2 linked regions of the Mus musculus genome follow. The protein of the gene in region 1 interacts with the protein of each later gene in a pairwise test. Links are inferred from orthologs where the notes say so. Each region holds a gene or a part of one and is shown in the gene's direction. Other genes may lie near its edges.

Evidence for each region.
Region 2: the proteins of Shc1 (region 1) and Shcbp1 interact in a two-hybrid assay, tested with the Homo sapiens proteins (2 studies listed by BioGRID, with this or other methods). The link is inferred for Mus musculus from reciprocal best matches to the Homo sapiens genes SHC1 and SHCBP1.

What each region holds. Positions count from the first base shown.
Region 1 is NC_000069.6:89,423,541-89,430,563, forward strand, and holds the end of Shc1 (SHC-transforming protein 1), read left to right. Parts: coding exon 1-31; intron 32-156; coding exon 157-276; intron 277-649; coding exon 650-703; intron 704-1,014; coding exon 1,015-1,066; intron 1,067-1,225; coding exon 1,226-1,352; intron 1,353-2,974; coding exon 2,975-3,161; intron 3,162-3,247; coding exon 3,248-3,317; intron 3,318-3,398; coding exon 3,399-3,530; intron 3,531-3,667; coding exon 3,668-3,906; intron 3,907-4,776; coding exon 4,777-4,905; 3' UTR 4,906-6,489; downstream 6,490-7,023. UniProt on the Homo sapiens protein: Signaling adapter that couples activated growth factor receptors to signaling pathways. Participates in a signaling cascade initiated by activated KIT and KITLG/SCF.
Region 2 is NC_000074.6:4,761,209-4,768,776, reverse strand, and holds part of Shcbp1 (SHC SH2 domain-binding protein 1), read left to right. Parts: intron 1-465; coding exon 466-633; intron 634-754; coding exon 755-870; intron 871-3,687; coding exon 3,688-3,896; intron 3,897-7,568. UniProt on the Homo sapiens protein: May play a role in signaling pathways governing cellular proliferation, cell growth and differentiation. May be a component of a novel signaling pathway downstream of Shc. Acts as a positive regulator of FGF signaling in neural progenitor cells.

The sequences.
Region 1 (7,023 bases):
TGGTGCCAAAGGGGCGACAAGGAGGAGAAAGGTATATGTGGTGGTTGGGGCTGGGTATTGGAGGCAGGGGGAAGGCACTTCAGGACATAGCGGATGGGACAGGTGTTTCCTCAGGCTGGGAAAGCTCAGATTCTGAGACTCTGGGCCCTTTCTTAGCCTTGTAGCCGCCCACTCAGCTCCATCCTGGGGAGGAGTAACCTGAAGTTTGCTGGAATGCCAATCACTCTCACTGTGTCTACCAGCAGCCTTAACCTCATGGCAGCCGACTGCAAACAGGTAGGTAGGGCTGCTGAAAGGGACCAGAGATAGTTATGGGAGCATCAAATGGGAATCAGAGACCAAAAGCTCGGAGCTCTCAGGAACAACTGGACAGTAGAGGAGGAAGAAATTAGAAAGGTTAAGGATAGTGACACCCTTATCCCAGCACTCAGGAGGCCGAGGCAGGTGAATGCCTTTGAGTTCCAGTCAGGGCTACACAGTGAGACCTTGCACCTCACCCCACCAAAAGAAGAAAGAAATCAGGAGAACACTGGGTAAAAGACCAAGAGAATGAGCCTGGGGCTCCAAGGTTCTGCACTGGGGTGGGCCACAAGCCCTGAGGCTGCCTGACATTTACCATCCCCTCCTTCTCCATCCCCACCCTCATCAGATCATTGCCAACCATCACATGCAATCTATCTCTTTCGCGTCCGGTGGGGATCCGGTGAGTTGGGGACCAGAGGAAAGACTGGGGTGGGGAAGAAGAGACATGGGGCTAGAAAGATGCTTGCTAGAGGCTGAGTGTGGTGGCACACACTGATCCCAGCACTCACGGGACAGGTGACTCTCTTGAGTTCCAGGACAGCCAGGGCCATGCAGAGAAATCCTTGAAAAACCAAAAGAGGGAGGGAGAGAGAAGATACTGGCTAAAGAAGTAGGGTGCAAGGGTTGTGAAATGTCTGAAAGGGACAGAGTCTTAGTGGATCAGGAGTTGTAAACTCTAGCTAACTGGTCTCCTGAATCTACCCTCTCCAGGACACAGCTGAGTATGTTGCCTATGTTGCCAAAGACCCTGTGAATCAGAGAGGTGAGGCTTGCGGGCAGCACTGGGTGGGGCCAGTTATCTGAAAAGCAGTTACACTTGATAGGGTTCCCTTGCTGGGAGGGACTTGGGTGGGGGCTCCCTCCCACAGGTCATGCCAGCCCCCTGCCTCAGAGCTCACTGGTGGTCTCCACTGTGTCCCAGCCTGCCATATCCTGGAGTGTCCTGAAGGGCTTGCTCAGGATGTCATCAGCACCATCGGGCAGGCCTTTGAGTTGCGCTTCAAACAGTATCTCAGGAATCCACCGAAGCTGGTCACCCCCCATGACAGGTGAGCTGGTGGGAGAGGGCGAGGCAGGAAGTGTCTTCCCATGCTTGAGTTCCAAGGGGTTCAGAAAAGGTAATGACCTGTGTGACCCTTTGTCCCTCCTCTGCTGTGTCAGCTCTCCAGTGGCTCATCAAGAGACCTGAGGGCCATGCCTGCTGCAGGGACAGTTTCTTCCTTTTGTTTGCCTAGGGTGGAGTTACAGCCCAGCACCTCCCACTAGACTGCTTTTTCTGGCTGAATGAACATTGAATTCTCAAGTTGTTCATTTTTGGCCGATCCCTGTGTTCTTGTACACTTTCATTTTTCTTAAAGATTTATTTTTATTTTATCATATGTGTAATTTACTGCATGTATACGAGTGTATGCAGTGCCAATGGAAGCCGGAAGAGGGCATTGGGTCCCTTGGGAGTAGAATACCAGGTGGTTGTGAGCTGCCACGTGAGTGCTTGGAACCAAACCTGGGTCCTCTGCAAGATCAGCAGTGGTTAACCCCGGAGCACTTGCTCCCCCACTCATTGTTCTGTGTTCTCCTGCCTCTGAAGGTCATTATGGTATCTGGACTGTAATCATGTCTTTAATCCCAGCACTCAAGAAGCAGAGGCAGTAGAATGTTTGAGTTTGAAGCCAGCCTGGTCTACAGAGGGAGTTCCAGGACAGCCAGCACTACATAGAGAAACCAACAAAAAAAGAGAAAAAGGAAGAAAGAAGGGGGTGGGTGGGGGAAGAATTAGAGAGAAAAGAAAAAAAATCTGGTTTAAGAGAAAAACTTTTTTCTTTTTTTTGTACGTGTGTGTGTGTGTGTGTGTGTGTGTGTATGTGTGTATGTGTGCATGTGGGGCCTATGTTGTGTGTGGGTACAGAGGTTTGAAGTTGATGTAGGTGTCTTCCTCTGGTGCGGCACACTTTATTGAGGCAGGATCTCCTTCTGACCTGGAGCTTGTCAGATAGGGCTAGCAGCAGCCAGTTTGCTCTGGATCCTGTCTCTGCCTCAAGGGTGCTGGGATTACAGGTGGCCACCACTGTACAGGTGGCCTGGCTTACACACGGATCCTGGTGATCTGAGCTCTGATCCTCACACTTTAGGAAATGAGCTATTTCCCAAGTCCCAGCATCTCTTACCGGAGAGTCCCCAGGCTTCTTTCTTCAAGTCTCAAGAGATTATCAGTGTGACCCACCAGGCCCTTTGTGAAATCCTTCTGGACATCTGCTTTGTTTGATAGTGCTTCCACGCCTCTGAGGAGGTCGCATAGCTGTCAAAAGTGAGAGTTAATTTCTTAATTTCAGTTAAGAGATCTTGTGTGTATCTCTCCTCCCCTTTTTTGTTTTTCTAGACAGGGTTTCTCTGTGTAGCCCTGGCTGTCCTGGAACTCACTTTGTAGACCAGGCTGGCCTTGAACTCAGAAATCTGCCTGCCTTTGCCTCCCGAGTGCTGGGATTAAAGGTCCACCCCCAATTTTTATTGCTGTTTCTTAAGTTGTGGAAGGAATACCAGCCTTACAGGGTTATAACATCAGGCCTCAGAGCTGAGCCATAGTATGTGCCTAGTATGTGATCACTGTTCTCCCTTCCTGGGTCTCCTAGCTAGAGATTTACACCTGCCTCTTCTCTCATCCTTCTCTTTTCAGGATGGCTGGCTTTGATGGCTCAGCTTGGGATGAGGAGGAAGAAGAGCCCCCTGACCATCAGTACTACAATGACTTTCCAGGGAAGGAACCCCCTCTTGGTGGGGTGGTAGATATGAGGCTTCGGGAAGGGGCTGCTCGACCCACTCTGCCTAGTGCCCAGATGTCCAGCCACTTGGGAGCTACACTGGTAAGGAGCCAGGATGGAGATGCTTAAGACCAGGGTGGGAATGGCTGGCTAGGGCCTTGGTCTCACCCAATTTTCTTCTTCTGTAGCCTATAGGGCAGCATGCTGCAGGAGACCATGAAGTCCGTAAACAGATGTTGCCTCCGCCGCCTTGCCCAGGTGAGCACAGTTTGCTGATACGGACAGAGATGAGTACAGAAGGCGGGGCTGGGATTGATGCTGTCTTTTTTTCCTTAACAGGCAGAGAACTCTTCGATGACCCCTCCTATGTCAACATCCAGAATCTAGACAAGGCCCGGCAGGCTGGGGGTGGGGCTGGGCCCCCAAATCCTTCTCTTAATGGCAGTGCACCCCGAGACCTTTTTGACATGAGTGAGTGAGTCTCTTGTAGCCCCACCTTCCGTTGTTCCTTCTTTTCTGCCTGTTCTCCCCTACCTGGCTTCCCACACTGAGTCTGGGTCTCAGGTGATACTGGGGCACCTCTCCCAGCTGTCTCTCTACACCCCTAGAGCCCTTTGAAGATGCACTTCGGGTGCCACCCCCACCGCAGTCCATGTCCATGGCTGAGCAGCTGCAAGGGGAGCCCTGGTTCCACGGGAAGCTGAGCCGGAGGGAGGCCGAGGCGCTGCTGCAGCTCAATGGTGACTTCTTGGTGCGAGAGAGCACGACCACGCCTGGCCAGTATGTGCTCACTGGCCTGCAGAGTGGGCAGCCCAAGCACTTGCTGCTGGTGGACCCTGAAGGTGTGGTAAGTGTGACAGAGGTGTGGCAGGGGCTGGTGTGGTTTTGCTTTCTAGACTTCCTTTGCCGGAGGCTTCCTGTGGACTCCTTTGCCCTTGCTGGACACTTGCATCCACCTGCAGTGGCTCAGGGTTCCTTCCCTGCTGTCCTCGAGTCTGAGCTGTGTTCTTCTCAGTTCTGACCAGTCCTCACATCCCAGTGAAGCCTGCCAGCCCCCAGAGAGTGCTTACTTGATCTTTTGCTAAGTGAGGAAATGACACTGGAAAGGCAGTGGTGCCCAGTGTCAGTGGTTAGGGGGTGGAGACCCCAAATTTTCTCTTGCAAGAGGAGTCAGGAGCCTCCCTAGCTCCTTAGCTTCAAACTCAGGGTTTTGTTTTGTTTTGTTTTGTTTTCAACAAATCTAACCTGCCTTACTATTCCATACAACCTTGGTTTCTTTTCTTTTTCTTCTTTTTTTTTTTAGGGGAGGGGTGGTGGTGAGGTTCAAGACGGGGTTTCTCTGTGTAGCCCTGGAACTCACTCTGTAGACCAGGCTGACCTCGAACTGAAGCGCTCCGCCTGCCCTGCTTCCCCAGCGCTGGGATTAAAGGCTGTGCCGCCACCGCTCTGCTCAGTTTCTTTTCTCTTCTCAGCATTTTTTCCACCTTGGTTTTGCATTGTGTCACTTTTGAGAGACACCAGCTTCCTTCAAGTCAGAATTTTCACTGTCAGCTTCCGTGATTTCTGGTCTCCTTCCCCTTCGCCCAGTTCACTGCCCATTCCCACCCATGTGACTGTCTTTTCTGTAAAGATGCCTGGATAATCACGGCTGCTGGCCCGCCTTCCTCAGTCTTCCTGAGCTCTTCTCTTGACCCAACCTTCTCTCCCTGCCTCCCAGGTTCGGACAAAGGATCACCGCTTTGAGAGTGTCAGTCACCTGATCAGCTACCACATGGACAATCACTTGCCCATCATCTCTGCGGGCAGCGAACTGTGCCTACAGCAACCCGTGGATCGGAAAGTGTGATCCTTCTCAGCTTCTCCAACAGGATGCTCTCCATTTCCGTCTCCCGTATTCTCTAACTTGTGGGACCTCTGTTTTGTGGGTCTGGCCTTGGGTGGGAACTGGGAGCAACGAGGACATGGGTTTAGTGCCCACTTGAGAGAGAGAAAAAGAGGGTTTCAGTAAGGAGCCTGGGGTAGCATCCTGCCTCTGGCCAAACTTCACCAAAGTATTAATGTGCAGAGTGGTCCCTTGTCTGGGCCTTGCCTGTGCCAACCTGATGCCCTTCCCCCCCAAAGGGTGGGTTCTTATAATGGAAAATGCCCTGTGATGATAGGCCCAGTGGAGCAACTGCCCTTTGGGGGAAGGGAAATAATTATACCTCTGGTTTACTCCTGGGTCTTCAGGGTACCCCAGATCCCGCATAACATATCCCACTCCCTCTGCTTCCCCTTAAACTTTGTGCCTTTGACTATCATAGGTCTGCAGATACTTAATGCAGAGTTCTCAGGCCCTTCACGTGTGGACAGGGGTTACTGCCACCTTGGCTTCTGGAGCCCTGTCCTATTCAGCACCCCTTCCTGTGTCTAGGGAGAATAGGGACAGGAGTGGCCGCTATCTGCTCTGCCTTTCGGATGTGCAGCCCTTAAGAGATTGCCCCAAGCCTGAATATGGTGGCGCACGCCTTTAATCACAGCACTCAGGAGGCAGAGACAGGAGGAATTGTGAGGCCATCCGATCTACAACAGAGTGAGTTCCAGGACAGCCAGGGCTATGGAGAGAGAACCTGTCTCCAAAAACCAAAAAGAGCGATTACCCCAGAGCCTTCTTCCTGATGGTAGCGGGGAGGGGCAGGACTGGACCCATCTTGCTCAGTGCCTCCTGACCTCAATGCCTTTCCTCCAAGGGGTCTGTATACATTTCTCAAGCCTGCTCCTCCCATGTTTGCATGTGTGTTATAGTCTACAGCCAAAGTATAGCCCTCACTGTAACCCCATCCTGCCTCCCTCCTTTGGGATAGGTGTGTGCGTCTGACTTGGGCCTCCAGGGTGTGTACAGTCAGTGTGGGTTTTGTGGAGGCAATAAGACTGAAGCAGTAGACAATCCCCAATACCATTTGCAGGTCTGGAACTGCACTCTCTTTTTTAAAAAACATGTATACATTTTAGGGCTGTAGATTTATTTTCCTGGTTTTGTTTTTCATTGCTGACTTTTGAGCACAGAATTATGATAATCAATTACATTTATACATCACCTCGATGACTTTTCCAAACTTTTATTTTTTTTTTTAAACAACTGTTGGGATTTTACTCCCTGGCCTTAACTAGGACAGGATTGTACCCCACTCCTCCCCCCCCCCTTTTTCTTTTTCGCCAAGACAACTGAGCAGAAATTTGGCTGAGCAGTGTTGTGGGACTATGATGTGATAGTTTTAGATCCTACCTTCTGCTTTCGGGCAGCTGCAGCCAGCACAGAAACCTTGCAAGCTCACTCTGTGTGTAGGCTTTCTGGACAAGGAATGGTCGCCAAATTTTTGGTTTGGATGTCTTATACCAAAGGGAAATAGTCTTCATTAAAGTTCGTATTTCTTTTACCTCGGCCTCTCAACTCCTCTGGAAAGTCTGATTGATGGGGGCTGTCTGTGGGAGGTGGTGACGGACCCCATCTGGGCTAGGTCCAGTGGGCTCCAAGCCAGCGCCAGCCCGCAGGCACCAGTTTGCAGAGATTTGGGGAGCTGCGAGGCTGTGCGGTAGGGACGTATCTGCAAGGCGACTGGCTCGCGGCGGGAAGGGGCGTGTCCGGACCGCCCCCAGGCCCACCCGCAGCTCGCACGGCCCCTGTCGAGTGGTGCGTTCCACTCTGCTACCGGGCTAGCTGGGCGGCGACAGGCGCACTTCGGAGGAGTGGCGTGGCGAGGCCCAGCCTTCCTGGGTGCGGCGTCTGGGCCCTTCCCTGCTTTCCCTCCCCACCGCGTTCCGTGGTGGTGACCCATTGGAGTTCCGGTTCCGGTTGCTGTGGCTGCGGGCGGGCGGTGAGTCTGGAGCAGGCGCGCAGTTGGTGCAACGGCTCTGTGCTTTCCCCCTCGGCGTGGCTAGGGCTTGCTGCTGCTCGGGGGGGCTGCGCTGCCCCTGACTCCCCTCC
Region 2 (7,568 bases), on another chromosome or scaffold:
CTACTCTTCTGAAGGTCCTGAGTTCAAATCCCAGCAACCACATGATGGCTCAAAACCACCCGTAATGAGATCTGACTCCCTCTTCTGGTGCGTCTGAAGACAGTGTACTTATGTATAATAATAAATAAATCTTTGGACTGGAGCTGTACTCATATATAGAAAATAAATCTTAAAAAAATAAAAAAGGTGTTAAGCCAGGTTACAGGAGGGAAATGTATGCTAGCTGTGGGAAGAATTAGAACTGCCCAGCATTTGAATTAGCCAAGGCATTTTAAAATTAACTAGTGTGTGTGTGTGTGTGTGTGTGTGTGTGTGTGTGTGTGTGTGTGTGTGTGTATCTGTCTTCCATTTGTGAATCCAGATAGCTCCTGGGCAGGTGTGTAAGTGCGACCTGCTGGGAGCCAAAGTGGTGTAGCCCATTACCTCTACACTAGATGGTTGAGTCTTTGTGTTATATTGCTTTAGGTTTATTCTTGGATGCAGATCCATGCAGTGATCAAGGCTATCATGCTAATCCAGGTGCTACTGTAAAAACTCTCATACCAGAAGGAAAAACTCCTTTTCCACGAATTATCCAAACAAATGAACTTCTGTTTTATGAACGATTCAGAGCCTATCAAGATTACATTTTAGGTGAGTAATTTTTTTTTTTTTGCAAGTAGCTTGTCCATAGATTGTCAGTTCTAAGAAAGTGGACTCAGATGGATTTATTAACTTCTCATCTATACATTTCCAATTCTTATTTAATTTGTAGCTGACTGTAAGGCCTCTGAGGTAAAGGAATTCACAGTCAGCTTCTTGGAAAAGGTCCTTGAACCATCTGGATGGTGGGCAGTCTGGCACACTAATGTGTTTGAGGTGTTGGTTGAGGTAAGTTGAATTCTCTTATGTATATATTTTGCCAAGCTGTCCTCTGTGTTTCTGACTTTGTTTCCTAGGTCATGGATTGAATTAATCTGTTTCTTTTTAATCTTCCTTGGAGTCATTAATCATTTTTAATAGTGAAGTTTTAAACTAATTTTTAAGGGTTAAACATTCTAGTTTTAATAATACGCGGCGTCCTCATACATGTGTGACATACTTTGTTCTCACTTGTTGTCCTCCTCAGACACCCCTCCACTTAGTTCTGACTCCTGCTTTCTTATCACATGTATTCCTTTACTCTTTCTATTTTATGCCTCCATTAAGATATTTTCCTCCATTTCATATTTCTTTTTAAAATTTTTAAGTATAGTAATTGTTTGTGTGTGTGTGTGTGTGTGTGTGTGTGTGTGTGTGTGCCTGTGTGCACACACCTGAATATTTATGTAGGAATCAGAGGACAGCTTACAGAAGTCAGTTCTCTTCCTCCACCTTTTAGATTCAGAGGCCTGACCCCAGGAACTCAGGTTTGGCAGGAAGCACCTTTATCTGCTGAGCCAAACTCGTTCTAGATTCTCAACCACAAATGTATAGCAGAGAGTTTCTAATAACTTCGCTTGGTATTTTACCTATTTCTATATCTGAATTCAGCAGTTGAAAAGCTGTATTATTTTGGAGGCCTCCTGTTACTTTACTTTTTCCTATTGCTTGTGTATTTTGTGATGGAATTTAGACATTTGTTGGTTTAGATAACTTTTCTGGTTTTACTTAGAGATCGTACATGAACAGCTTCCTGGTTTTAATTCCCAATTAAATTTAATCCTTTCACCAGTTCAGCTGGGTATTTTAATTCCCAATACCATTCAGTGAGGAGAACAGAGTTCTGATAGCTCAACACTAAAGTGTAGAAGATATAGAAATATACTTAAAATTGATTAAAGCCCACTAATACATCACTGATGACCGTAAGCCAGACAGTGGGAAAATTCATGGAGAATGTGTTATAAAGTTAAAAATTATTTAGGATAAATGTGTCTCTAATGCATTAATGAGGTGAAAGAAAGAGGCTGGGAAAAGAAAGAAACAGAAGAGAAGCAAGGTCAAATAAATGAAAAGAAGACGGAAGTTGAGGAGTGTTAAGACGAGAAAAGAGAAAGGAGCAACTGATTGGGCACAAAAAGGAGGGGGAAACCCTCAGGAATGAAAAAGTTCATAATTACCTAAATATATGGACAGGAGTAGAAATTAAAATATTATTTAAACAAAAGCCATTAAATATTTCTACAACTATAGAACAGAATTCAAAGTGGGGGAGCAAGACAAAAGAAGAGGAAAATGATTACCCACTAATGAAAAAGTTCACAAGTTAGGTGACTGTAGGAAGTGAAGTAATAAATTATTTTTAAAACTTTAACCATTTTTAAAAATAAATGAAATAAAAATACATCTGATATTGTAATAAAGACAAAAGACTGAGGGACAGCAAAATATAATGGGTATAATAATAATCGTAATAATAATAAATAATGTTGGAACAGCTTCTTTCTAGGTCCTTGAAAACTGGAAAACGTCATATGCATAGGATGGGAGAGGTAGATGGTTACTGGGCATCTGTGCCTTTTCTTTCCTTCGGCTTCTGCTGGTGTTGAACCTATATTTTACAGTGTCTGAAGTCCACCAGATATGTCTTCACTTTTGTAGTTTATCTTTGTGTTACCTGTGGACTGTGCAGATTTTTGTCAGTCTCTTGATGTTTTCCTCTTTATACCCATGCGGTAACTAATGTTCTACTTGGGAGTTATCTCTCAAATGTTTTAAGAATGTAAGAAACAACTGCAGCACTGAACTCTTATATAGGTCTAGCTTGTTGTACATTAGAAGTCTTTTAATATTCATCAGATTGCTGGAGAGATGCCAGTAGACTATTGAAACATTCTGGAACTCCCCGCGGTGAGCGACAGGTTGATGGCCCTGTTGCGTTTAGGCTTAGGGCAGTGGAGCTCTAGGGCTGCTTTCGGTTGATTCCTTCTGCTCTTGGCAGCTGAGAATGGGACTGCTTCTCTCTGTGCGCTTCACTGTTTGAATAGAACTTCCTGCTGCTGGCACTTTTCTGCTTTTCAGCATCGGGCTTTTCTGCTCTCTATAGCTGGGATCCAGAGCTGTCTGTCTATCATCTGGAGTTGTGGCAGGTTAAATTCAGACTTTCTTTATTATAATTGTTTCTCATAATGAGGTCCCAGTTTTAGCTCAGTTCTAAATAAGTAACATTTTGCGGGGCCTGTGCCCTCCCAGTCATATAGAGTAACAGTAAAATTCTGGAGAATCATTGCTTCACCGAAACTCAAAACTGGTTTTGATGTTTGTAAAACCCTGTGGTCTTGTTCTGAAAGTCAGACTCTCCTTCTCTTTACCAGCAACACCTGGATTACCGTTTGAAGGAGGCTCCTGTTTTCCTTCCCACTGCTAGGGAACTGAGTTGCCTATCTTTTTCTCAGTACATTTCAGTTTTTCTAGCACTGCTATTTTAATTTCTAGTGCTGATCCTCCTTTTTTTTTAATATTCTCATTTTGAAAATTCTAAGTGATTTCTTTCACTGTCTCACCAAAGCAATTTCCTTTCCGAAATCTTACCCATAAGTCCTACTGTTTATTTTTCTCCTTGATTTATATTCTGAGGATAAAAGCCATTTCTGTTTTGTTTGTCCTTAAAAGGCACGCTGACACATTACTTACTTTTAAAAAGTGGATTATAAATAGTATTTTATACTGTGTGTTTCCACTTTGATTTCTGAGTATTAAAATGAGCCACATTGTTTTGAATTTCAGGTTACAAATGTGGACTTTCCATCCCTGAAGGCGGTCGTAAGGCTTGCAGAGCCATGCATCTATGAATCTAAATTGAGCACGTTTACCTTGGCCAATGTGAAGGAGCTTTTGGACCTGAAGGAGTTTCATCTGCCTCTGCAGGAGTTGTGGGTGGTATCAGATGACTCACATGAATTCCACCAGATGGCACTTGCAATTGAGCACGTCAGGTAGAAAGGAACACTGATAGAAGTAACCTTGTAGCCAAAACTGCAATTTAATGGAAATAAATCTTTTTTTTTTTCTTTTCTCTTTTTTTCTTCTGTTTTCTTTCCTTTTTTGTTTTTTAATCCTGTCTTGAGGCTTGAACCTAGGCCCTCATACACACTAGAAAATGTCTTTACCACTGAGCCACATATCCATGCCATAGGAAATCTCTTAAAAATAAAAACAAAAATCTTGATATCTTAAATTTTTAACCTGTTATCACTTCAAACCCAGAAAAAAAAGTTGAAAAAAATAATACATGAAATTCTTGTTTATCATTAAAATTCTTCAAAAGTTTACAAAAGATAAAGAATTCTTAATTTGATTCTTATTGATTTAGAAACTGACTTAAAAGTCATGGATGCTAAGGCTTGTGATTGGTACATTTTGAATGTAATAGGACAGAAAAAAACGATGAAAGGTAAGAAAATAAAAAAAAGTTGTATACTACTAGTTGAAATAGTATACATCATTTTCAAGAATATGTCTAAGCAGAGAAACTATTTTCTCATTCTACGTTGAAGGTTCTTAGAGGATGTGTTCCTGTGTCTTATTTCTGTAGGTAGTGGTGTCCCTTTAAATGAAATAATGTGTGTAATGTCTAGATTACTAAATATACTTTATTTTTAAAAAATATTTTATTTTATGTGAATTGGTATTTTGCCTACATTTTTAAATGTACACCACATATATGTGAACATAGAGGCATTTAGATCTCCTGGAACTAGAGTTACAGAATCATTGTGATGTCGGTGCTGGGAACTGAAACACGGGTCCTCTGCAAGATCAGTTAGTGTTCTAAGCTGATGAACCACCTCTTGGTATGCTTTTAAAATTACTTCAGATAAATTTTTTATTATAGTTCATGTTATAGTATATTTCTGTCTCTGTCTGTCTGTCTGTCTCTCTCTCTCTCTCTGTGTATAAGAAATTTGCTTAAAACGTATGTATATCTTTAATTGGACTCTAAAATCTGAATCTGATTTGCTGAGTAAAAGAAGAAAATTGTATTATTACTTAAAGACATTTGGGTTTTTTGGGGGGAGGTATTGTTTTTGTTGTTGTTGTTTTAAGATGTATTTGTTTTATGTCTGTGAGTATACTGTTGCTGTCCTCAGACACACCAGAAGAGGGCATCAGATATCATTACAGATGGATGTGAGCCACCATGTGGTTGCTGGGAATTGAACAGAGCACTTCTGGAAAAGGAGTTAGTGCTCTTAACCACCAAGCCATCTCTCCATCCCCAACATTTGTTTTCAAGTTCTATATAATCTATGTACATTCTAGTATATTTGTCCTTTGTTTTGTATTTGTTTGTATTTGTTTTGTATTTTTTAAGGTATATAATATAAATACAGCTTTTATGTGTTGATATAATAGGCACTGATATACTCATTCTTTATGATTAAGCCTTATTTGACTAAACAAATTTGTCTTTCACAAATTTTATTTTATTAAAATAAAATTTCAAATAAACATATATTTGAAAATATATTAAAATAATAAAATTAGATGTACATTTCAGGAATTGGAAGATTAGGTGATATCAGTAATATTGTTTGGTGTTTTGTAGTCTAAAAGGTACTTTCTAATTTCTATACCTTTAGTGGCTTAAGCTGCTTTTCCTGAGCCCTCCCTAACACCCAGACTCACTATGCTCAGAATTGCCTTTGGAATTAGAGATTTTTATTTCTACACCAATTGAGTACTCAATATTAAAACAAAATAAAACAAAACCAAAAAAAAAAAAAAGTGGTTATCACCCAGACTTACATACATGACTGGAAACAGCAATGAGTACAAACTAGAATTAATATACTGAAATTGTTATCCTATGGTTGTTTCTTAGGAAAGTAACATATAAACTTGAGTCGGGAAGGTTACCTAGGCAAGGAGGACGGGTCCAGGATGTCTGTGATATTAAGATACTGAAAGACCTGCACAATCATAACATAGTCCAGGGGTGCTGGATCTGACATTTTTTTATTAGTATAAAGTTTATTTTCTTTTATATGTTAGGAATTTTTTTTTTTTTTTGAGACAGGGTTTCCCTGGCTGTCCCAACTCACTTTGTAGACCAGACTCGCCTCGAACTCAGAAATCCGCCTGCCTTTGCCTCCTGAGTGCTGGGATTAAAGGCATGTGCTACCACACCCAGCTGGATCTAACATTTTTGTAAGTCAGAAGGTGCATAGCTTTGTCAGCCAATTAATCAGTTCTATAATAGAACATTGGAAATCCACTGCAAAGTTTTCATTATTTGGAAAATATGATCAGCTTTGTGTTTTTAAAAGTTCACATAGGCAGACTGATATATAACTCATATGGGGAGCTGAGGCTCATTCGAGGTTTCTACTTTGAAATAACCAACTCTGAAGGAGATGTATAGTAAATGACACATAAGTATCTGGTACTGTATTGGCATGGGTAATAATTTCGGCTAGGTATGAAACTTAAATATGTTTACCAGGTGGAAAAAGTGAGAGGCATTTGACCAACATGCCTCTCACTTTTGTAATTTGGAAGAAGTATAAAATTGGAAGTTTGCATGTAAGGGCTTTGAAGCAGAAGTGTTTTAAAGATACATTCTGAAAAGGAATGGCTAATATGCATGAGATTTGTCTTGAAATAATCTAATATCAAGATGATATGGAAGAGAAAACGAATATTTGAGTTGGGTAGAGACGGAAAAGATTACCTGTGAACTTTTTTCAAGTTGTATTAATAATATTATCTATGTTTTCTTTTGCTATACATTTTTGAAATCTTTCTCTTTTTTTATTAGATATTTTCTTTATTTGCATTTCAAATGCTATCCCAAAAGTTCCCTATACCCTCCTTCCGCCCTGCTCCCCTACACACCCACTCCTGCTTCTTAGTCCTGGAATTCCCCTGTATTGGAACATATAAAGTTTGCAATACCGAGGGGCCTCTCTTCCCACTGATGGCCAACTAGGCCATCTTCTGCTACATATGCAGCTAGAGATATGAGCTCTGGGGGTACTGGTTAGTTCATATTGTGGTTCCACATATAGGGTTGCAGACCCCTTCAGCTCCTTGGGTGCTTTCTCTAGCTTCTCCATTGGGGGCCCTGTGTTCCATCTTATAGATGACTGTGAGCATCCACTTCTGTATATGCCAGGCACTGGCATAGCCTCATATGAGACAGCTATAACAGGGTCCCTTCAGCAAAATCTTTCTAGCATATGCAATAGTGTCTGGGTTTGGTGGCTGATTACGGGATGGATGACCGGGAGGGGTAGTCTCTGGATAGTCCATCCTTTCGTCTTAGCTCCAAACTTTATCTCTCCAAATGCTTTCATGGGTATTTTTGTTCCCTGTTCCAAGGAGGAATGAAGTATCCACCCATTGGACTTCCCTCTTCTTGATTTTCTTGTGTTTTGCAAACTGTATCTTGGGTATTCTATGTTTCTAGGCTAATATCCACTTATCAGTGAGTGCATATCTAATAACTTCTTTTGTGATTGGGTTACCTCACTAAGTATGATATCCTCCAAATACATCCATTACTCGAAGAATTTCATAAATCCATTGTTTTTAATAGCTGAGTAGTACTTCATTATGTAAATGTACCACATTTTCTGTATCCATTCTTCTGTTGAGGGACATCT